Neodiprion lecontei: one gene and its partners. The protein of the gene in region 1 binds, or shares a complex with, the protein of each later gene. Links are inferred from orthologs where the notes say so. Each region holds a gene or a part of one and is shown on either strand. Other genes may lie near its edges.

Region 1 (6,338 bases):
CCTCATTCAATTATTTGTTTGTATTTTCGATGCTAAGATTAAAGTTTGGTCACTCCAGGGAATGCGTGATACAGTGAACATCGCATTGTAATTAATATAATTTCATCAGTTTTTTTCTAGATTCAGAGAGTGTTGGAAAATCAAGGGCAGAAATAGCTACTCAAGTTCTTCTTGAACTAAACTCCGATGTACGTGGCGATTACGTCGACGAGGGCCCTGAGCAAATCTTATCAAATAGCCCGGACTTTTTCAATAATTTCACCGTCGTTATCACTACTGCACTCCCAGAGAAGTATGCATCAATATTTTGCTACCTTTTTTTGAAGTGATGATCATCATCCATATTTTTACTATATCTTGTTGCCTCCAGGAGTCTAATTCGCTTGTCAAAAATATTGTGGGACCTGGACATCCCGTTGATAGTCTGCCGAAGCCTGGGCTTTATCGCGTACATGCGAGTTCAGACCAGAGAACATACTGTCATAGAAACTCACCCGGACAACGAGACACCTGATTTGCGATTGGACAATCCGTTTGAAACATTGAAAAATCATTTTGATTCAATAAATTTGGACGAACTGGACCTGAAGGATCACACTCACGTTCCATATGTTGTGATTCTGTACAAATACCTTGAGAAGTGGATATCTGAGAATGGGGATGTACCAAAAAATTATAAGGAGAAACAGCAGCTAAGAGATATGATCAGGAGTGGTATTAGAAAAGATGAGCACAATAATCCTATTGATGAGGAAAACTTTGAGGAAGCAATCAAAGCTGTTAATACCAGCGTTGGACGTTACGAGGTACCTCCCAGCGTCATGGAGGTCCTGAATGACGATTGCTGTATAAACCTTACCGCCAAGGTAGTATCGTTTCTTTTTTGTTTGAGCACTTCGACACATTTCGGACAAAACATAATGATGAAAATTTTAGAGTAAACCTTTTTGGATTATCGCCAAGGCTGTAAAAGACTTCATGGAGAATGATGGTTCAAATTCATTGCCACTCAAAGGTGCTGTACCAGACATGACGGCAGATACAGAAAAATATATATCCCTGCAACAAGTGTGAGTGTACGTGAATTTAATGTAAGTGCCGAACGGACATCTCAATGTATAATAAATTTCAGGTATCACAAACAAGCCGCAGCAGATGCGGAAGCAGTTTGGCGAAGAACAGTCCATTTGCTCAGACAGATTGGTCGCCCCTCGGATGCGATAACAGAAAAAGATGTCAAGTTATTTTGTAGACATGCTTCTAACATTTACATTCAAAGGGGATCCTGTATAGCGGATGAGTATGATCCAAAAACTGTGGATGCCAGCGAAATGAGTACGCCTTACTTTCATTTCATTCATATTTTACTTTCAGCTGTATATAGCTCATGTAAATAATGTTGACTCTTTTAGCTCAAAGTCTAGAAAATCCTGAAAGTATGATGGTGTACTACGTGGTACTCAGAGGGATCGAAAAATTCCAGGTGGAATACAATTCGTATCCAGGCGAATTCGACGATCACGTTGAACCAGATATTGTGAAACTTAAGGTACTATTTCAAAGCCTAGCGTAGAGCAAAGTTAAAATTTGTAAATAGTAGAGTATGTTTCAACTAGCGATAACTTATCACATTTGGGATGTGTGCGAACAGAATTGGGATTAGATCCAAGTATATTCTTTATAATCGTTTAATTCTGATTCTCGACAACACAGGAATTTTCAAATCTGTTTTTAGGGCCACCATACCAATAGAAACAAAGCTTTCATAATATCTAACATATTTCTACGTTTGTATGTGTACTCAGGCCTGTATTTCAAAATTGCTGATGGAGTGGGGTTGTGGGCCATTGGCAAAGGATGACTACGTCCATGAATTTTGCCGTTACGGCGGATCTGAACTACATTCGGTGTCGGCGTTCTTAGGAGGGCTAGCTGCGCAGGAGACTATAAAATTCATAACTAATCAATGCAAGCCGATCCACAACACTTTTATATACGACGCGGTAACGTCAAATTCGGCTAGTTTCTTTATTTGAATAGTAATAGAAAATTTGCAATACTATCGCGTAATACTATAATCACGTAATCATGAAATAAAATTCACTATTTCCATACAACTTGGCTAAGCATTAAATTACCTAGTCTGCAACACACGCCAAAAGATGAATGAATATCGTTAAATTAAAAATACGAAAATGCTTTTGTGTATAAAAAAGATTTGATGATTGATTTTTGACAAAAAAAAAAAAAAAGAATTTCATTTTATTATTACGTCAGATAAGGCTTACAGGCTAACTTCATGTCTGTGAGATATCAACGTTTTTATCGAACTTAAACTAGAATGCATTGGTATTAGACTTGTTTAAGAATATAAAACGTTGGTCAGTGGTGTAATTCACCGAGGTGCGTGGGAAGAGAAATCGCAGAATACAACACCTCGTTACGTTTCTCAAAAATCATCAATGGATCAACTATTTCAAACACTATCGCCTGCCTCTTCCTCTGCCACGACCTCCACGTCCACCTCTAGCGCCACGTCCACCACGGCCTCTTCCACGAGCCGCACCTAGTACAGAAAAACAAGGATTAGAAATCATCGATATGTATTAGAATACTATTGCAAAGTCTGGATTGAATGTGTCGAAAATTGAATCAAGGAAGATTAGTCACAGAAAATACTAAAACATAAATAAAATTGATCATAAAGGCCGCAAAACTTGAATGACTATAAGGACCTCGTGCGGCTTCTTTCTTCTTTGCTTTAGCCTTGGGCGTGTCATCGATAAGCAGAGTTTCCAAGGGAAGGGAATCAGGCAGAATGTAGTATCGAATGTTGTTTCCCCTCAAACTCAACGTATCGAGTTGTACAGGGTCTCTGTTCTTTATCGTCATCTTCACAGTTTTCAAGTGGGTGTTCATGGCCACATCCACACCTTAAAAATAAACATTTTTGTCATGCATCTGCAAAAACTATTTCACTTGGAGACAAAAGAGAAGCGGCCTGCTCTGTACGCTATTCCAACTGTGATTTGATTGTGTCAAGTCAAATGGCATAGGTTATGTTTACAAACCTGTGATAGTTCCGTGAACTTGGGTGCCATTTTTCAGTTCTATCGTAACCGTCTCATGGCTGAGTTTCATCAAAAATCTGAAACACGAAATATCCCAATTAATCCAGTGTCTTTTCACTCATTGCATTAACGGTGTTCGTAACGTAATTGCAACATCACTCATAGAGGCAGGTTAGGTACGGGATTTAAATCAGTATCTACAATCACACGGTAGTTAAGAAAAAAAACTATCCGAATTTATAGCAATCTAAAACTTCGATCGACGGAATGATTAATTATCGGCAAATTTTTACCTCACTAATTTCATGATGCCGATGGATTTTTCGTATAAAAATTCACAAGCACCGGCAAACCATAAACATCGTTTCAACGGCCGAAGTTCGGCGGGCTGGACGCGTCGAAAGCAGCGCCACTCGATGAACACGGATTTTCCGACAAACTGTACTTTGTGTCTATATTCACGGAGTAACAAGTTCGATTCGACAATTAAGTCACGCCAAATCTGGCTTGAAAATCGAATTTTGTATCGAATTATATGTACACAGTTCTGAATATTGTCTACACAGAATTGTCGATTGTACAATTTTCGTGAGATACCAATTGATACAACTTAATTTTCTCAAACGTTTACCTTACGTATCCAGTTTCCAAAAGTTGATGAGGTATCTCGCAGAACGTTGGAAAATCAATTTTGTTATTTGACGATATCCATGATACGCCCACACAAGTGTTTTTTCAACTTTATTTCGATTTCCCTTGATGCGTGAAGTTGTACAAGGGTCATCGACGCATAACTCTTCATATGCCTGTATGTATTATGTATATACGAGTTGTTGTAAACATCGTGGATATAATTAATCGCCGAGGAGTATTTAACTCAAGTCAGTCACGTCGCTACTCACTACTAATTGATGTGCTTGTTTTTCCTCTAGACGAACTCATCTGCACGCTCGACGAAGAACTACCTACGGAAGGTTACACATATTGTCATAAGCCCGGTTGAGTTCGGTGCACGCGATGTTTTGCCACAAACGGCCACGGCGTATTCCATCTGCACTCACCCTGCACTTACTAATCACGATAAAACGCAGGTATTATACCAACGTACAACATACGTATGCATTGCACATCATGCGTTATACGTATCCATCCAAGGGGAGAAATTAGATAAGTTTATTGCAAGTTGTCGATCGACAGATGATTATCGTCCGTGTAAGTGGCTACGCAGCTTGTGTGCTTTACGCTGCTGTATAAGACGTACACATCAGACATATTATCCATAATATTTATATTAGGCAAGCGTTAGTCCTGCATAATTTCATCGTACGGAGATCGATCACAATACCTACTATTAGGTAGGTCGTAGAGCTCTTCGTTCAATGCTGTTTAATATATATCTGATAAGCTTTTACAAATATTACGAGCTTACGTACATAATGTTAACCGCCAACTGTTTCCCACATTCTGATTTCAACGAAAATTAATCAATGAGTATAACCATATATCTATACAGGTCATGTTAATTAACATACGTCATACGCTATTATAAATCCGTGAAATTGAAAGTGTAAAATTAGTGTAAAATATTGTGAACCCAGATTCGCGAATCGCGGCACTTAATACATTATTGCATTTGCAGTCTATTACAGAGGTGATCGCGTATGCAAAACGCGTCTGGATTTTAAACATCGTATTGGAATAACAAAACTTGCGCGTAAGTGGTCGCGTACATCGTCGATGAATCATGTATGAAAGCGAGAGGTGGGGAGGCGAAGAATGACTCGGTGTATCCCGACAAACTAACTTGCACCTTATATGCATAGGCACAATAATACAACGTATTTCCAACCATTACTGTTCTCGATGTTTATCCAGCTTTATTACAGGCCTCCTTAAAGGCCTCCCGCTTTACGTATACCATAAACGTGGACTCTCCTTCATTCTGGTCCTTCACCTTTACCACAAAAACCGTCGGCTTCGTTTACCCATGGTTCCTCGACGTCCGTTAGCTGGTTAGAATTATTCCAAAAACTTGTTTACGAGTACCTACATTGACGGTCGAAATTTCTGTATTTTTATTACCTCGGTATAACTGCGTATACGTTTATACATGTATACGGAGAGCCGCAAGTCATTGGAGAGTCCGGCGCAGTGATCTCGATACGTTAATTTTTTTTTTTTTTACCTTTCTTACTTGAGGTTCTCTAATCACGTCTACCCAGAATTGCCGAGGCGTACGGCTGTGACAATGATGTCCCGACGGTCTCACGCTGGTGTGACGTCATCGTCTACGTCAGCAAAATCCTCGAGGGGGCCTCGAGGCCCGATCGGAGTCGCTGCCGCATCCGGAGGCACGCACCCACGTCAAACGATACAGCGCGTGAAAAGAATTCTAGCGCAGGATAGGTGGGGGGCTCGGATAAAACGATAAATGGTAACACCGATTTTTGCATATTGTACAGTCGTGCGAAAACTCACTGCAATAGATCACACGCTTTATCTCGGCAAAGCATTATAATTTTACACAAATTGGAAATTTTAAACATTTATTACAAGCTAAGCGAAAAAAAGGAATTTTGTATCCAGGATCGGACGTTTTGTTTTCTTTTCTCGTACAGGTTATACCACAATATAAATACTGCAGCGTATTATCTACAATACGATGTTGTTGAATTTCAAATATTTTCACACGATGGCGAGCACGTCCCTTGTGTAAAAATACAATTTCTAATTTGGAAAAGTAAACTTTATCAGCGCAGAGTACGCAGCGTGGTTTGCCTCTGTAAATAGCTTCCCTCCGGGTTGACCTTCTGCGTACGTTATACAATTAGCTGTAATTATCCGCGGGCTACCAAGGGACATCGCAAAGTTACACCATTAAGAATAATGTCATTATACCTATACCTAGGGAAGTTGGTTTATGTTTACATAGACGTAGCCATGTGGTACATACACGTTCCCGCGAGCAAGTTGCAAATTACATATACGGCGACAGGTCCACGTAGCCGTAGCGGACGCGACTTACGTGGGTACCCAGAGTCGCAGGGACACAAATCACACATTTGCGCTGATCCAGAGACCTGTGGACACTTGAACTTTGAAAGATAATTCAAAAATTAAACTCGTTACAGGAAGCAGAAGTCCAGTTAAAGTGGATTGGATCTTTTTCCAACTCACTCGTGCTTTCTTCTTTCGTTATTTCATTCCATTCTCCAAACCTGCTTTCCCGTTCCAGGCCTTCAAATTTCTCGTCATCGTCGCACAGGG
Region 2 (9,878 bases), on another chromosome or scaffold:
GATGAGGCAATCTGACTTTATATATCTATTTTCTGATTATTGGATAATTGTCAGCGCCGTTACTAATGAGTGTCTTTATATGGCGAACAGACCGTCATTTCACGCATCGGCGCGTCGTATATCAACGCCACCTCCAAGCTGTGAATTTCCTCCGCTTGAATCGGTACAGGAGATTCCTTGTGATGATTCAAACATTGCTGCCGGTCTGCTTTATTTTCCTCTTCCCTTTTATCTTTAATGTCCATTTCTTCGGTTCCAATCGCATTGGGGGTACCCACTTCAACTACACACTAAGAAATTTGATTATAATTCACAATATGTCGGTTAATGACTCATTCTCACCGATATTACGGTGTGTAAATTTCTGTGCATGATTTCCAACCTTGTTCCAATATTTTGACGATGTGCTAGAAAAAAATGGAAGTGCGAGACAAATTCCGACGCATGATTCTCGCGGAACTGCTTTACCCAATGTGGTGTAGGATATAATGTCAACCGAATATTGGGCATACCTGTTGCCGATCCAGAAGTGATTTCTCTTCTGTACCACTGCAGCTCAATACCTTTCCAACATCTGCGTTATTTTTTAAGGAATGAATATCGTGTCAAATATAATAAAAAGTGACTGATTCAATTTCTGTGTACACTTTGTACATGCAAAGGATGAACGGGTTTTTATAGAAACAGCAATTATTAGACAAGTTAGAACTTGACTTGCCTGTTGCCCCGGGACCATCTGCTGTTATGGCAAGGCTGTCACGTGAGAGATGAGATCCAAAATTAGGCTGACGCAATGCTTCCTCCTCAGATTCTGAACTTGTCTCCACATCCGAATGGAAATCCAATGTTTTGCCTGGGTCAAAATTGAGTTGCAGTACAGGTGTGGAAGTAATACTATTTTAATTTCAGTAAGAACTTTTGAAATCTCGATCATTCTATTGCCTATTCAATGATGGGAATAGTTTTTCCTTTCTGTAATACTTTGCATTGGTAATACATTTTTTTTATTTAGTGCTCAACAATCAGACTCAATAATTGAGACAATCGGAGATGTGCGCAGCGCAAGAGAAAATCATAGAAAATCCATTTCAATGGTTACTAAATTGTTTGAGTTACCAAGATTCGTGCTGAGTTGGGATGACGAGCTGTTATTAGACTGGCAAAAAGGTACGCACACGCCACCAAAGTAAGTAGCAGGTGGGGAAGATGTGAAACACCATTTCCGTGACAAGTAAAGGAAGAGAACCAGCAGGAGAGCCCCGAATCCTGCGACAGCACCGAGAAACGCCGCTGTCTCGACCGATACTGCAAAGGCAATGAGAATTACAGTTGTAATGCATGTATAGCTGATTACATTGCTTGTGTGACGGTAAAACTGAAAGTTACATATCTGCGTGTGCATGTTACATTATAATTGAGCATGCTGATATCAGTCCATTCACTAGGGTAAATTTTTGAAACAGTAACAAGGACCAAGAATTGTAGGTAGTTGGTTGGGTTAGCGAGCGTTCCAGGAAATGTGGAAACGACTGTGCACGAATCTGGTGAAAAGCAAGACAACAGTGGACTCACCCGGCAGAAAATGGTCCGACCCAGCAAGAATCATACTCGCTCAATTCGTAATTCTATAATATGCTTTATACATTTATAAGGTAAAAAAATCTTCTGTAGGACAGAATTCATGGCTCGAGTAGCTAAGTCGTCAGGGTAGCGCTGTCGCGAAATACGGAAAACTTTTTATTTACAAACAACAGCGGTCCCGCCCCCTTAGCGACCCTGTGCGCCGGGCAACGCACACGATCACTAAATACTGATATTTATTACCATTGCACACCGCATACCTACCCTGTAAAAACGGACGCCGCAAGCGCGTGCGGTCCACCTGACGCAAATGTCAGGTTAGAGCTTACTGCGATGTAAAATAGGTTTTGTCTTGATTATTACTTTATTCGTTACTCTATACTATGCAGGGCAAGAAACAATGCGATTTCCGTTTTTATGTACTTTTAAACGATCGTATTCAACAGTTTCCTACTTGATTGATTTGAATTTTGAATTGACAGTTTTGAGCAATCTCAAAGCTACGGTTTCAGCCCGGTAGGGCGGCGCAGCGGTTTTAACTTAACTGTTGCGACCAGTTTGTCACAAGGTGAGTGTAATCTTGTGATTTGATTGGTGCCTCGTGAGCCCGCAGATTGGACCGTATGCGTATGTGACGTCGTTAGCCACTCCCCGATAATTCTAGAATTTAGTTACTAGATCCGATCGCAGAATGTAAGCACAGCTAGATGCAGTCATGGTGCCGTCTCACGTAGGTACGTACGGATCGCCGGAATCCCATATGAATGAACGGAACGGGGTAGATTTAAATTTGTGCTATTCAGCTTCATTTGTCTGTTTAGATCATGATCTGTAGACGCAGGTCTGGAAACTCCGGCACTTTTTTGGAGTGGGGGGTGTGTAGTCTTTGGTGAAGGAAGATTTATTCAGTCCCTGTTATGACCACCAGAGTCGTTGCGATCTAGAAGCTTTGGACACCCAACACGTTGACTGAGCAATATATCATCAGTCAACGCCTAACATGACGAATTCATCTCTGCAACCCTCCGTGTATCGTGCCCTTGTGTCAGCAGCAGTGTTACCGACGCTACAGCACGACTTCAAGAATTGGCTTACATCGTAATCAGTGCAGAGGTGTAGATGAGGCAATTTTTTGAAGATTACTCGGCAAACGAGGAAGGCATTGGCACATGTCATCGGACTGGCGAATAGCCGTTCAGGAAAGAAGAAGAAGAAGAACGAAGAAGGCATAGGATTTCGTATGTAGAGGTTAGGAGTGGTAGGCATACAAATGACAGCGTGAATAGTTGGTGTTACTTTACTAGGATAGGACTGGTTTTGCGCTGAATTTTTGGTTGAATTTTACGAGAAATACTGCGAAACTGACCGTAATTCAGAAGCAGAGAGGATCGACGAATGTAGGTGGCGACTTTGCTGCGGGCAGAGGTGTACATAGTACGTTTAAGGGTACACATACACGTATAAAATGGATGGAGCACTTGGGAATGAGGTTAGTAATACTTATGAAATTAACTCAATAATAACTTTCCATCCACCATACATCGCTTCTTACAGTAATGTCGTAATGTCTTTATATGAAGTGGTGAAAAATTCTATTGTCAAGTCTGTCAATAATAACGTATTATCTACCGTTGACCGAAGGTTGCTGATATAGCCAGCCAGATAAATCGGATTTTGATGCTCGGTGCGACTAAGTGAGAGTTTTCGAGGGAAGGTTGGGTATAGAAATTTCCTGTCGATAATAGCTTGATCAATATTGTAAAACCCCTAAGTGAGACAATAAATGTAGGCTAGTAATGGCATTACCTCTGTGCCCAAGGTTACTGTTTGCTTGCTCCAAATCAATACCTGTGACTGGCTGTATTTAGCAATCTTCAATCAACGGAAGAGACGTAGCATTCTACTTGTTATCCTATACCTTGGTTCGCACCTCGTGAAGAGATGTAGACACTGACTGTTTCAACATACTGCATTTCCGTAAATCTAGACTGACTTGAAACTGCTGCTAGTAGCTAGGCCAAACCAGTGACTAAAGCCTACAGTTATGAGTTCAATCATAGATTGGTTAAGAAACCAGTTTCAGCGCTCCGCAACGACATGTTATGTCCCTGCACTGTGCTTCTTCTTTCTTCCCCGCTCTCGCACTTTCAGAGGGCTTCTGTTCGAGGTCTTTCCACCTTGTCTTTTGACTTCAATGTTGAAGACTTTCTCGTTACCACTCAATCTTGATTAGGGTTAATTGGCAAAAGATCAGCCACAGAAGTATAATTTACATGATATTAAAATCGGTCTATCTACTTGTGTACTTTGTCTTTTTTTTTGTACAAAATTCCTGGTTTTGTGTTTGTGAGACATTAAATCAAGAGTGAAACTATATATTTCAGGCACAGGGACAGCAAATAATACTGGATCCTCGTCAGTTAAGGCAAATGGAACAGCAAGAGATTCAGAAACAGCTAGCAAGCGTTCCGTCTTCTGTCCATCATTCACACCCGACTATACCGAAATTGACTACCATGGGAATGCCGTCGGTTGCCGTTGAAATACCACAAGCGCCGTTGCCCAGTCTTCTCAATTTAAAGATTGCACCTCCGATCGAGATGCAGCTCTCTGGAACTCCAGAGGAGCATGGTAATAAGGCCGAAGAGGTGCGTGATGGCGACAATGAGGACCTCTGCAAAGAAGGAAGAAATGGTGTATCCGACATAGTGAGCACGACCAAGCTTCCTGTTGCTTTGGAACAGGCGCTTGCATTGAAAACTGAGAGAGCCAAGGAGCTGGGCGGTGATCTGAACGACGACCACGATAACAGCGCTCACGGCCATGCAATGTTTCAAACATCGCATCCATCTAACCCAGCTTCTGACTTACGCGACAACTTACTACCAGACTCGATTCTCTTGGAGGACTTACTTCCGGAACCAGACGCACCACGGGTTCGACAGGATGTGAGGGGAACCAAGAACCGCAAAAAGAAAAAGAAACGGAAGAAGAAGAGCAGCGATGAGAAGAATGAGGATGTAAACGAGACCAGGACGCCTGATGTCAAGGTCAGGAACATTGACGACCCGCAGATTGAGTACATCCAAGAGATCCCGAGTATCAATGACTTGGAACCAATGTATCGTCAATTTGCCAGAGTTTTTGACGCGTTCAAGCTGACGGAACCTGAAGTTCGCGGTGGCACGGGCATAGGCCAAAATGCAACAAGTGATAAGATTGAACCCATTGGCCAGTATCCACCCTTGACAAACACATTGGCAGCGGGTCCACTTAGCAAAATCCCGCCTATTGACGACTTTGACGACGACCCATCCCAGCAGAATCAGCATAATCAGCAGGGTGGAGGCCAGGGCACCGGAGAAGGAGGCACACCGCGTCTTTCTAAACGCAAACTGAAGAGGCTAACGCGCCTGAGTGTGGCTGAACTGAAGCAACTCGTCGGGCGTCCAGATGTTGTAGAGATGCACGACGTCACAGCGCGGGACCCCAAACTTTTGGTGCAGCTGAAAGCTCATCGAAATACGGTACCTGTGCCAAGACACTGGTGCTTCAAGCGCAAGTACCTACAGGGTAAACGAGGCATCGAAAAGCCTCCTTTCGATTTGCCTGATTTTATCAAGCGTACCGGTATTACGGAAATGCGAGCGAGCCTTCAGGAACGGGATGACACACGCACCTTAAAGGCGAAAATGCGAGAACGGGCAAGGCCGAAACTTGGCAAAATAGACATTGACTACCAGAAACTTCATGACGCATTTTTCAAGTGGCAGACAAAGCCCCGTATGACTATACACGGCGATCTCTACTACGAAGGTAAGGAATTCGAAACGAGACTGAAGGAAAAGAAGCCCGGTGAATTATCCGACGAGTTACGAACAGCTCTGGGAATGCCGGTTGGTCCGAACTGTCATAAGGTACCGCCACCTTGGTTGATCGCTATGCAACGTTATGGCCCTCCGCCGAGTTATCCAAACCTCAAGATTCCTGGTCTGAATGCGCCTATACCCGAGGGATGCGCATTCGGTTATCACGCTGGCGGATGGGGTAAGCCACCCGTCGACGAGACGGGCCGCCCGTTGTACGGAGACGTATTCGGTGTTGCCAGGGCGCCAGGGGTCGATGCGATGGACGAAGAAGTTGATCGCGGTATGTGGGGTGAGCCGGAATCAGAGTCGTCGGGTGAGGACGAAGACGAGGACGACGCCGAGGAGGGTAATGAGGGTGACGGGATTGAAGGAAAAGAGGGCGATGCCGGAGATGCAAGTGGCTTGGTTACACCCGGTGCCGAAGGCTTAGTCACACCGAGCGGTATTGCGTCAATTCCGGCGGGGTTAGAAACACCCGAAACCATTGAGCTCAGAAAGAAGAAGATTGAGAGCGAAATGGAGGGCGGGGACACGCCTGCGCTATACCAAGTTTTGCAGGAGCGTCGCGCAGAGGGACTTGGGGCAAGCATGATGGGAAGTACCCATGTGTACGATATGACTGGTGCAGTCGGAGGTCAGGCACCCCCCTCCGTCATCGCAGCTGCTCGTAGATCTGGGGCCGTTGGAACAAGCGCATCGGGTGCCGGCGGAGGTGGTCTAGGAACAGCGGGTGTCGGCGGTAGTACATCTGCCGAAGGTAAAGGTGACAGGGACGCAGCTGTTGAATTGGCGCTTGATCCAAGCGAGCTGGACCTTGATTCAGAGGCAATGGCTTCACGTTACGAAGAGACAATGAGATCGCGCCAGGCTCACCTGCGACGCGAGGACTTGTCCGATATGCTTCAAGATCATGTACAAAGGCAAAAGGTGATATTCTGAATTTTTAGTAGAAATTATTGTAAATCACAAATTATTGTCATTTTACTGTACCGGGAGATTATCTATTCGATCTATTACGATAATTTGCGTTGCCAGTGCTGTCCTTCCAGTTATAAGCCAATTGCACGTGTTGTGTAACCAACACAAATAAGCGTACCCTTTTAAAGATAATCGCCAGGTATGCTCAGTCGCGGTGCATACGTTACTTTCAAGTGACTCAAAGCTCACACCTAATACGTTATTGTTGCAGAGCAAGAGAAAACGTCAGCAGAATCAGGAGACCAAAGCATCCAAGAAGTACAAGGAATTCAAATTCTAATTGAAACCTGTCTCGTCAACGTATCCCCTAATCATATTCCAAAATTGTTCATGTGTCTACCGTATGTATGTCATTCAAGTGATTCAATACTTTCACATTATATACGAACTCTATCTGAATTATAAAATGAATGCGATCATTTATATCACTTTGCCCACCATTACGTGGGCTACATTATAATTGGCCAAAACTGTATGCATACACCCGGTATGTCCCTGTACGCCATTCGGCTTGTGCAGGGCAAGAGAGGCAATAGATTTGTGAAAGTGATTGGGCGCCTGCAGCCTGGCTTAGGATGTTCAATAGAAATCCGCGCGAATGCATAAAAAACAAGGAAAACTGCAGAATACCTTACCCAGATGTAGCTGGGCCGAGTTCAAACCTCAGCTTGCTGACTCAGCCCCCGACTGACAATTGTTAAGAGTTTTCGCGCAGGTCCTCATAGTCGTGCTGGGGATTTGAACTCAATTCCTCCCGATTCACAGTCTCACACACCTGTGCGCGACACTACTCCGGCCGGTAGTACATACATACATCATACGTAATTTTATACAGTTGTGTAAAATCCCCTTTTTCACCACGAAGAATTACTGAATTTCATGCAACAACAACAGTGCAGGGGTTTAAGACCGATGTGGTTCGAGCTTGTGCGTAATTTAAAACTAGCTAAAAAATAACGCAGGTTGTACTGAAATACGTATCTCTAATATTATATTATCAATACAATAATACTTTGGTTGGTGCACTTGTATGTACTGCATACTGTACTGTAACATGACATTATGAATCCTATACATGTTGCTTAATCTGAGAATGGTCGATTTTCCACACACTGTACGTCACCAGGAGACGCGAAATATGATAAAGAAGTAGCATCAGACAAGGTAACGTCATTGCGATTACAAATCTGCTAATCGCACTACCAATGTCCATCCAGCTACCTCGGGGTGTAACCGTATGCATGACTTGCAGTGTTAGACAATCGGCAAGGAGGATTGTCGTCATGAAAAGGTTTGACGGTGCAAGGGTCCTGATACCACACCCAACAACCAATAGTGGAATGCTGGTCTTCAGGACGATCAGAGTACACATGGTGAATGGCGAGAATACTGTAAGAAAATGTCTTGTCCATGTTGGGTCGAACGAACTAATGCTTGCTATGTTTCCAGTACCAAAGAACCCCAGTAGCACGTACAGCATCTGAGTCCGAATGAATAATAACATAACATGTAAGAAAAAAGAGTATCTAAGGTTCCGACATATCTTGCATGCACAATCTGATAGGTGCAGATAGTGCTTGAGCTGAATATAAGATTACCAATGATGTGTACAAAGCTTGAAGCAACTTTAAATTTTACTCGCACCTCATACAGCAGGTAAAAGGATACAAAAAATCCAGCCACCAAAAAGTCTTTCACGCTGATGGTTTCCTTCTTCTTGAATCCCCACATTTTACAACGTTTGTCAGTAGTCATAGGCCAACAAAGAAGATGACCCGTCAACGCGATAAGGAAGAGTGGCTCATACGATACGGAGAGTAAGGCAAGGGTTGGTAAAAATGCCAAACTTACTCCAAATATTCTACCCTTGACTTCAACCGAATAAGCGCATATGCACAACGGCGTAGAGATTAATATTAGCCAGGACAAGAGGCTTCGACCATCCACGAGTCCCGAAGATATTAAGGCTGTTGTTGTAAGTCTTACACCTTCCACGGCCTTCAGAGAAATATTCATGTGACGATCGTCGGCGGTAATCACTGTCATTCCTCCAATAACCAAGGCCAGCAAGCTGTTGAAGAAATACTTGCATTACTTTCGTGACACATGGTCACGTGCGTCATATACCATAAGTCGGTACGTAATGTAATACTTGAAACATTACATTACCACTTAATGCTCAAAGTGGATAAGGTAAAATTCTTCCTCATCTTTCTATGACTATCAGACAGGACAAAGATCAAGCAAAGGGAATTGTCTGACAGATTCTTACACGAGATGTGTCTGTGTGTCGGGGCCTACGGTCGGTAGTAGCGGAAAGGCGGCCAAAACGATTGTTGTCCAGGGAAGAAAACGATCCGCGTCCTTGAAGAGAACACCCTGTATCACGCACATACACAGAGTCGCTGCTCCGAATATCCACCTCATCGTTAAAGCAAAGGACATAATCGACGTCAGAGAAATCGTACAACCTATCCAATACCATCCGCCACGGAACGATGGACAAGGGTTAGCGCTGAAACTTCGAGTGGCAAGCCATGAAGAAAGCAGTGCCAATAATGCATACCCTTGCAAACGCCATCCACTTGTACCTGAAACTTTCGATTATTTAACAAACTTGTCCGCTGCAAAAGTGCTGTAAAAAATTCGGCAGTCAAGTAACTAGGGCCGCTTACCTCTGTGCACAATAAAGAGAAGGATTGAGGTGCACACGAACAGGACATCCCAGAGTAATACCAATTTTGGGCGATTCTCATCGAGCGAGATGTTAGTGATTTTGAGAAAGAGCAGCATGATCCATCCCAGCCATGAAATTGTCAAATAAAACATGAGCCGACCTCTGTGATACTCGCGAAAATAAACAAGAGATTCCTTGGCAAGCGACATTAGTCCTTTTCCTTCGTTTATCGCTTCCATTGTCTTGCCAGCTGTCAAGAGATACTCGGCTCGGTGAATTCCCTGAGAAAGACTTGTTTCCCTTAGGTGTGGCTCGCTATCGGATCCGTGACTGAGCACTCGGTTTCCCCTCACCTGGTGTTTCAGTTGTTTGAGATTGGCTATTAAAGCACCCGCTGTATACGCTGCATTCTCATCTCTCAGATACTTCATGGGTAAAACACCCTATGGAAGAAATTGAACATTGGTCCTCAAAGTGCTCTCTCTTTTGATACCTAACTTGCACCACTTGCATGATCTTCGTACACCAGATCGCAAGAACATCGGTCCTCAAAGTACTTTCTCTTTTAGTTTCTAACTACCAACACTTGCACGATTTTCTTACATCAGATCGCAAGAATTCATCAACAGTGCACAAGGGTAATGAAAAATATCTCATTCCCCTCGCGCACATAATATTAATAAGATAAAGACCAACCTCGTTGTTGACCGGAATTGGAATTCCTAGTAGAGATGATATTAATGGCGCGATGTCTGCCTGTTCCACGTCTACTT
Region 3 (6,311 bases), on another chromosome or scaffold:
TGGGGGTAAAAATATTTCGAATTGTTCATTGAGCGCGAGAAGAATACTCGTGCCGTACTTAGTATTTACGCGCCTTACCCCCGTCACGCTGTACTCCTCCCCAACCTCCAGATCTGACATTCTCTTGGTGGGTAGCGTTTCCAGGTGACAGACGAGGTTGATTTTATTTAGATCCATCACGTTCGATGTAGATTTTATAAATTTGACGTACTATGGATACTGAAGTTCACAATGGGAAAACTTTGAGAACAATATAACGTGTTGAATGAGCTCGCGATTTATATACCAACTAACCACACTCTCCCCCCTAATAAATTCTTGAAAGCGAAAGTTTACGAATCATCATCAACATCCCCAGCCTATCTAATTGCGGCATCACCATCCGGTCAATTAACACAAAAAAGTGTATTCGAAGTATGTGAAAAATATTATTTTTCGCTCTGGGGAGTAAAACTATTAGCGTGAAAGTTTAAGAATCGCCATCAACATTCCCGACCTATATGTATAATTGTGGCGAACATCCCCAGCTTTACTTAAAATTAGGTGTAACTGTAATTCGAAATATATATATATATATATAACTACAATAAATTCTATTAATATTTTTCGAATGTAAAATTTTCCCCCTGGGGGGTAAACTATTAGCGTGAAAGTTTACGGATCGTCATCAACATTCGCTGTCTATCTAATTGCGATGTCACCATCCGGTCGATTAACGTAAAAGAATGTATTCGAAGTACGTGGAAAATATTATTTTTCGCCCCTGGGGCAAACTATTAGCGCGAAAGTTTACGGGGTAACGGTGAAAAATCAAAATGACTGTTCATCCTGCCAAGAAATAAAACACATTATCAAACTGTCTGACGATAAAAATCGAAATGGCTGCTCATCCGACTTAGCAAAAATCAAAATGGCCGCCGTCAGACGGTAAAATCGGTCGATTATACTGGTGACGTCATAGCGAAAATCACATTATCAAACTGTCGGACGATGAAAAATCAAAATGGCTGCTCATCCGGCTAAGCAAAAATCAAAACAGCCACCATCAAAATGGCCGCTCGTCTGACTAAGCAAAAATCAAAATGGCCGCCATCAAAAAATCAAAATGGCCGCCATGGTCACGTCAACCGGTTACGTCACATGGTTACGTCACCTGGTTACGTAATGTTTGTTTTGATTTAGAACTGTCATATCCTATCTACTTCCGGCTAAGCAAAAATCAAAATGGCCGCCATCAAAATGGCCGCCATCAAAAAATCAAAATGGCCGCCGTGGTTACGTCAACTGGTTACGTCATGTTTTGGGTTAGAAGTGTCGTATCTTATCTACTTAATGTAGAAGTTTTGTCTTTTCAGGAGATAGGGTTAGACCTAGCTCATGCAAGTTTTGGTTTACTTGTTTTGCCGCGATTTCAAGGTTATCTTTGCACAGTGATAGAGGTTCGTCGTAGGAGATCAAGGCGACGTCGTCAGCAAATTGTGAGGCAATAACATTTTTTGGCAGATTATTGCTTATGTTTGATACATACAGGGTGTACAGCAAGAGGCTTAGAGCACCCCCTTGAGGTACTCTCTTGTACACTTTTCTTGATTCAAAGCCTTCCACATCTGATTGAATGATTCTTTCGTGTGTATTTGACACGTTATTTCATCACAAAAGCAACAAATTAACAATTTGTACGTGGCTCCTGAACTTAATCTGTTGATCTTCAAGAACTCAAATTTCTCAAATAACAACGAACGTTCGTTAAGATGGCAGAACAATCGGTTGTCGATTGTTTCACATGGCGTCACGTGAGTAAAACGGCTGAATATCGACAATGAAATACTCGCCGTTGATTGAAGATATTTGGCGAAGTCTTTACCACTTCGTTTGAAAGTGTGCATGATGCGATTCAGATTTACTCAAACACTAGAAATACCAATTTAATGCAGGCCGAGATTCGCATGGAAATTATAATTGTAAATAATCTTTTGTTACTGGAACTGCGATGGACCGTTAGTAACGGAAACCAATTTATACTCATAATTTACAATTATCGCGGTAACTGCGATTATTTATTTCAAAGAAAATGTTCAGCTGAATTGTACTTATTATTATTAACTTACCTTTTCGATATAATTGCGAAGAATTTATTAGGAAATATAGCGGAATTCGTTATACCTCCATCTCCTTGCTGGGAAGCGTCTGAAAACAACCGCCGATCGTTCCCGTAAAAGTAGGAATGACGGAAATGTACCATGGAACGCCGGGACCGAACTATCAGAATCTCACTTTATCGACGACCGTATAAAAAGAATTCTTTTTACGCTACGCTTACGATTTTACCCAGCGTCGTATACGAAGAGCTCTTTGCGGATCGTGTTGGCGTTAACGCGACAGACGCGCCTCGCCTTGCTTTCATCGTTAAAAATAAACATGGCAGAAAACGAAGCGTCAGAAAAGCCAAATTGCACGTTTTTGTTCAAGAAGCGAAAAATCCGCAACAACGCAGCAAGAAAACGGAAAGAAATTGTGGGAGAAAATGGTGAGACGACTCTAATTAAAATTGTGCTTTCTAATCAGAAATGATTTTTGAGGATCCGCCGGATTGAAACGAGATTTTCGTATCAGACCACGCGTCATAGGTTAACTCTCAATATGTTGTTATTGAAATAAACCACCGTATCACTTGCAGACGATAGCGAAGAAGAAGCAGTCACGGTTGTCAAAAAGGAAAAAAAGACCGACGTTCAAAATCCTATGAGACAAAGTGTAAGAAACTATACATATTTTTTCCCCCTGTTATTTTGTTTCAGTCATCTTCCCCACGATTATCAACTGTGCTAACAGTAAGATAAGTTTAAAACTCCAACAACCAATCACTGTTTCAATTTCTGCAGACAAGTATCAAGAGGCAACGACCTGTAATAGGTGAAAATGACGAGGAAGCCGAAGATGACAGCGTCACTGTCTCTTATAAAAGTAAGCGGAATGTGATGCCCGCAGGGCCTAGCGATCAAGGAGCAACGGCCATTCTGGAAACAGAGACAGAAATCGACAGAGATGCCCAAGCTCTGTTTGAAAGGGCTCAGAAAATCAATGAGGTATTGTAACTGAAAGCAATTTTGTTTGTTATAGTCTGAAATCTGGCAAAATTTTTGGTGTGTTGCTTTGTGATCTAAGGGTGCCATTCAAATTTCTTTGCTTATACCAGCGAAATATATAACCGTAAAGGTATTCTAATTGTCCTTGAAATCTTCAAGAATCCTTTATTGGTCACTTTTTCATCTATTTTTCTATTACAGGAGTTGGAGGGCAAAGAAGACGACAAAGTATACCGTGGCATGAACAATTATGCTCAGTATTACAAAAAAAAGGACACTGCAGCAGGCAACGCGTCCAGTGGAATGGTGCGCAAAGGACCCATCAGAGCACCAGCAAATCTCCGAGCCACTGTAAGATGGGATTATCAGCCAGATATCTGTAAAGATTACAAGGAAACGGGTTTTTGCGGATTTGGAGGTGAGAAAAGAAACAGATTTTTCACTCTATCCAGTTTCGACGAAACTTTTACTGTTTACCAGACTGCATTAAAAGGGCTGCTCAATCATATGAATTGCAGTAAAATGTCGCCTCTAAGGTAATCTCTTCTATTCCCAGACAGCTGCAAGTTTCTCCATGACAGATCCGACTACAAATTAGGCTGGCAGTTAGAGCGAGAGGCAGCCAGTGGCGAATATGACAACAGCGGTGACGAGGATGACAAGAAATATGAAATAGACAGCGACGTTGACGATCTGCCATTCAAATGCTTCATATGCAGGAACAGATTCACCGATCCCATTGTCACAAAGTTTGTAAAATTTGATTTATAAACAAAAATAGTCAGATCCAATTTAACAACGGAGAAAATTATCCCCAAGTGTTTCTTAATGCAAGAGCAATTTCTAAATGACGTTTCAATCACTTTTTCAGGTGCAAACATTACTTCTGCGAAAAATGCGCCCTCGAACAGTACAAAAAGAGTACGAGGTGTTTCATTTGCAACGTACAAACAAACGGCATGTTCAATCCAGCCAAAGAGTTGGTGGCGAGAATGAAGGTGGAAGAAATGGAGGCGGCGGAACAAGAGAAGGCCGATAGCGATTCTGACTAGTGCAGATCCGACTTTGTGTAATACTTTAATTTAGGTAATTAATTTCTAAATTTTAATTCCTTCGAGTTAGAGAGGAAGAGGGAAAAAACAGGGGCGTCGCCGTTTTATTGTTCTTGAAAACATAAGCATTGTTGGTGCATCCGAAGGTGTACAACAACAAGAATAAATAAAACCAGAAAATATTACATTACAAATAACAGTGAAACAGCGAACTGATATGCACGATGCATTGCGGTATACCTTATGTGTTCTACGAAAAACTTGTTCATCAAAGTGCGAAAGATAACATCACGAACGATACACTCAATTTTGTTGTAAGACAAATATAAAAGATGAAAAAAAGTAATAATAATTAAGATACGGATAATAATGGACGTGTATATTTAAATTTTCTCATTGTCTGTACAGTGAACCGCGCAGCAATCAACTTAAACAAATTTGCCCTCTATTACCGGGTGGCGATGTAACAACGCGCGACGTAGGACAGACTTCGGACTACATATATGTATATCAATTGTCCCCAGTCCCACACGTGCTCAGTCATCGCGTGGCAGCCTTTGCAAACGCTCATTGTTAGCCGAGTATCTGCTCCCGACGGATCGCCGCCGCGTGTAGTCATAGACCCCCGGAGTTTTACGATCGGCTTTGTTTACCAACGGCTGAGTAACGAGCGCCACCGAGGCTTACGGGCATGTATTTTTTGGCCAAGAGCGTCTTTCTTCCCCTTTTATTCTCTCTTATCGCGTCTCTGAAAAAATGAGTGATTACACCAACTAGTTATTATCTAATCTACTCGTAGAGACCTTCGGCTCTGAATTTCGGAAACAAGCTTCAGAGAAGCGGGCAAATTTCACGTCAGTTTACTGAGATCAGTTGGCGCTAAGTTTCACGTTTTTCAGCCGTCTAAAGTGTCTTCAAATCTTCCATTCGCCTTGAGATTCGGGCAAAATAGGAGCGGTGAGAATCCAGTGTGAAAAGTGCGTTCCCTTATCTCTGCAAACGTGACCACGACGACGACGACGATCAAGAGAGCAACGACCGAAACTAGTGGCGCACTAATGCGTCCTCGTAAAAATGACTAGACACTGATAAAAAGTAAAACAAAACCTTCACCTTCTGGAGGAAGGAAAGCTTCAAGGCTGCTATTCAACACTGATCGCGTTTCTTTTCGTTCTGGATATATATAGAGCAAAAACAAAGGGCCAAAGAAAAAGTGGATGAAATGCTGGATTAGTAAGGTATTTTCAAATAAATTCGAGAAATTGAATGAAAATAAACGTTATATAAATTACCAGTATAAGTATAATGTATACTACAGGTATTTCACAGATCTTATCAACTTGTCTCCGCAGCCCCGATAGCACTCACTCAACGTACATGTATACTGTGTAAATAAATTTCGATTTATCTTTTCCGAGGAACTGATTATGCAGCTGCAACGTGACCGTACCGATTCATCCGTAAATAGATACGCAGGTTTGAAGTCTGCTGGGCGCGGGGTAAAGAGGGCGAAAAATTCATGCGGCAGGTATGGAATCGCGGTTTTGATAATACGGAGCGACACGATCACTGCACGATGCGTGTGCAGCGAGCATCTTGACTGCGCAATTCTTTATCTCTCGGCCGGTCCCCGCTACCTACTGCAATTACGGTATCCGTCCTCATCAATTAGCAAACATGACTCGCTCCCGACGTTTTTTCTCCCCTCGAACCGCGTAGGCGATATTATCACCGCGACTTTGCCCTGTAGGCGAGTTTTTAACTCAGGAAACTTATTTCTCAGCAGCATTCGAAATTCGAAATTTTACGCGGGAAGCGAGGTGCGCAGAGGGAGAATTTAAACGAGCGTGCTAGATTTTTCGACGAGGAAAAATTCGGAATTCCTCGTCTCTTCGCTCGCGGTTCTAATTGAAGCGCCTTCGTCCAGGCGAGATTCTTGTCTCGCACAAATGCCGTACATGTGCAGTATGTCAGAGCCTGATAACTAAATTATCGATTTTCAAGCGGTAGCGGGACTGTGACGCGAGCGCCGAACGGTGCAGGAGAGCGTCGAACATCATTCCTCGTCCAAACATCGTCGACGAAGGAACAAATGTTTTCTTCCTGTTCAGTATAGCTGACGAGGGTTTCAGATCGATAATACGCGAGTGTTACCTACCATTGCCAGTACCCT

What was found. Proteins that work in one complex are often made in the same cells at the same time.
Region 2: probable small nuclear ribonucleoprotein Sm D1 (region 1) and splicing factor 3B subunit 2 share a complex: the UniProt entries of both Homo sapiens proteins name them as parts of the minor spliceosome. The link is inferred for Neodiprion lecontei from reciprocal best matches to the Homo sapiens genes SNRPD1 and SF3B2.
Region 3: probable small nuclear ribonucleoprotein Sm D1 (region 1) and E3 ubiquitin-protein ligase RNF113A share a complex: the UniProt entries of both Homo sapiens proteins name them as parts of the minor spliceosome. The link is inferred for Neodiprion lecontei from reciprocal best matches to the Homo sapiens genes SNRPD1 and RNF113A.

Annotation. Positions count from the first base shown.
Region 1 is NC_060261.1:43,621,520-43,627,857, forward strand, and holds probable small nuclear ribonucleoprotein Sm D1, read right to left. Parts: upstream 3,524-6,338; 5' UTR 3,379-3,523; coding exon 3,365-3,378; intron 3,149-3,364; coding exon 3,072-3,148; intron 2,934-3,071; coding exon 2,736-2,933; intron 2,567-2,735; coding exon 2,484-2,566; 3' UTR 2,037-2,483; coding exon of another isoform or gene 1,806-2,036; 3' UTR 1,675-1,805; downstream 1-1,674. Other genes in the region: NEDD8-activating enzyme E1 regulatory subunit, read left to right, coding at 110-292, 371-866, 937-1,070, 1,133-1,335, 1,413-1,549, 1,806-2,036. UniProt on the Homo sapiens protein: Plays a role in pre-mRNA splicing as a core component of the spliceosomal U1, U2, U4 and U5 small nuclear ribonucleoproteins (snRNPs), the building blocks of the spliceosome.
Region 2 is NC_060266.1:53,481-63,358, reverse strand, and holds splicing factor 3B subunit 2, read left to right. Parts: upstream 1-2,402; 5' UTR 2,403-2,819; exon of another isoform or gene 2,820-2,885; 5' UTR 2,886-3,046; coding exon 3,047-3,070; intron 3,071-3,965; coding exon 3,966-6,377; intron 6,378-6,639; coding exon 6,640-6,708; 3' UTR 6,709-7,497; downstream 7,498-9,878. Other genes in the region: synaptotagmin-14, read right to left, coding at 93-290, 513-574, 719-853, 1,117-1,305, 1,573-1,606; GPI ethanolamine phosphate transferase 1, read right to left, coding at 7,498-7,908, 8,073-8,499, 8,701-9,025, 9,104-9,548, 9,802-9,878. UniProt on the Homo sapiens protein: Component of the 17S U2 SnRNP complex of the spliceosome, a large ribonucleoprotein complex that removes introns from transcribed pre-mRNAs.
Region 3 is NC_060263.1:16,653,231-16,659,541, reverse strand, and holds E3 ubiquitin-protein ligase RNF113A, read left to right. Parts: upstream 1-2,375; 5' UTR 2,376-2,418; coding exon 2,419-2,527; intron 2,528-2,677; coding exon 2,678-2,754; intron 2,755-2,882; coding exon 2,883-3,086; intron 3,087-3,287; coding exon 3,288-3,504; intron 3,505-3,642; coding exon 3,643-3,835; intron 3,836-3,957; coding exon 3,958-4,138; 3' UTR 4,139-4,335; downstream 4,336-6,311. UniProt on the Homo sapiens protein: Required for pre-mRNA splicing as component of the spliceosome. As a component of the minor spliceosome, involved in the splicing of U12-type introns in pre-mRNAs. E3 ubiquitin-protein ligase that catalyzes the transfer of ubiquitin onto target proteins.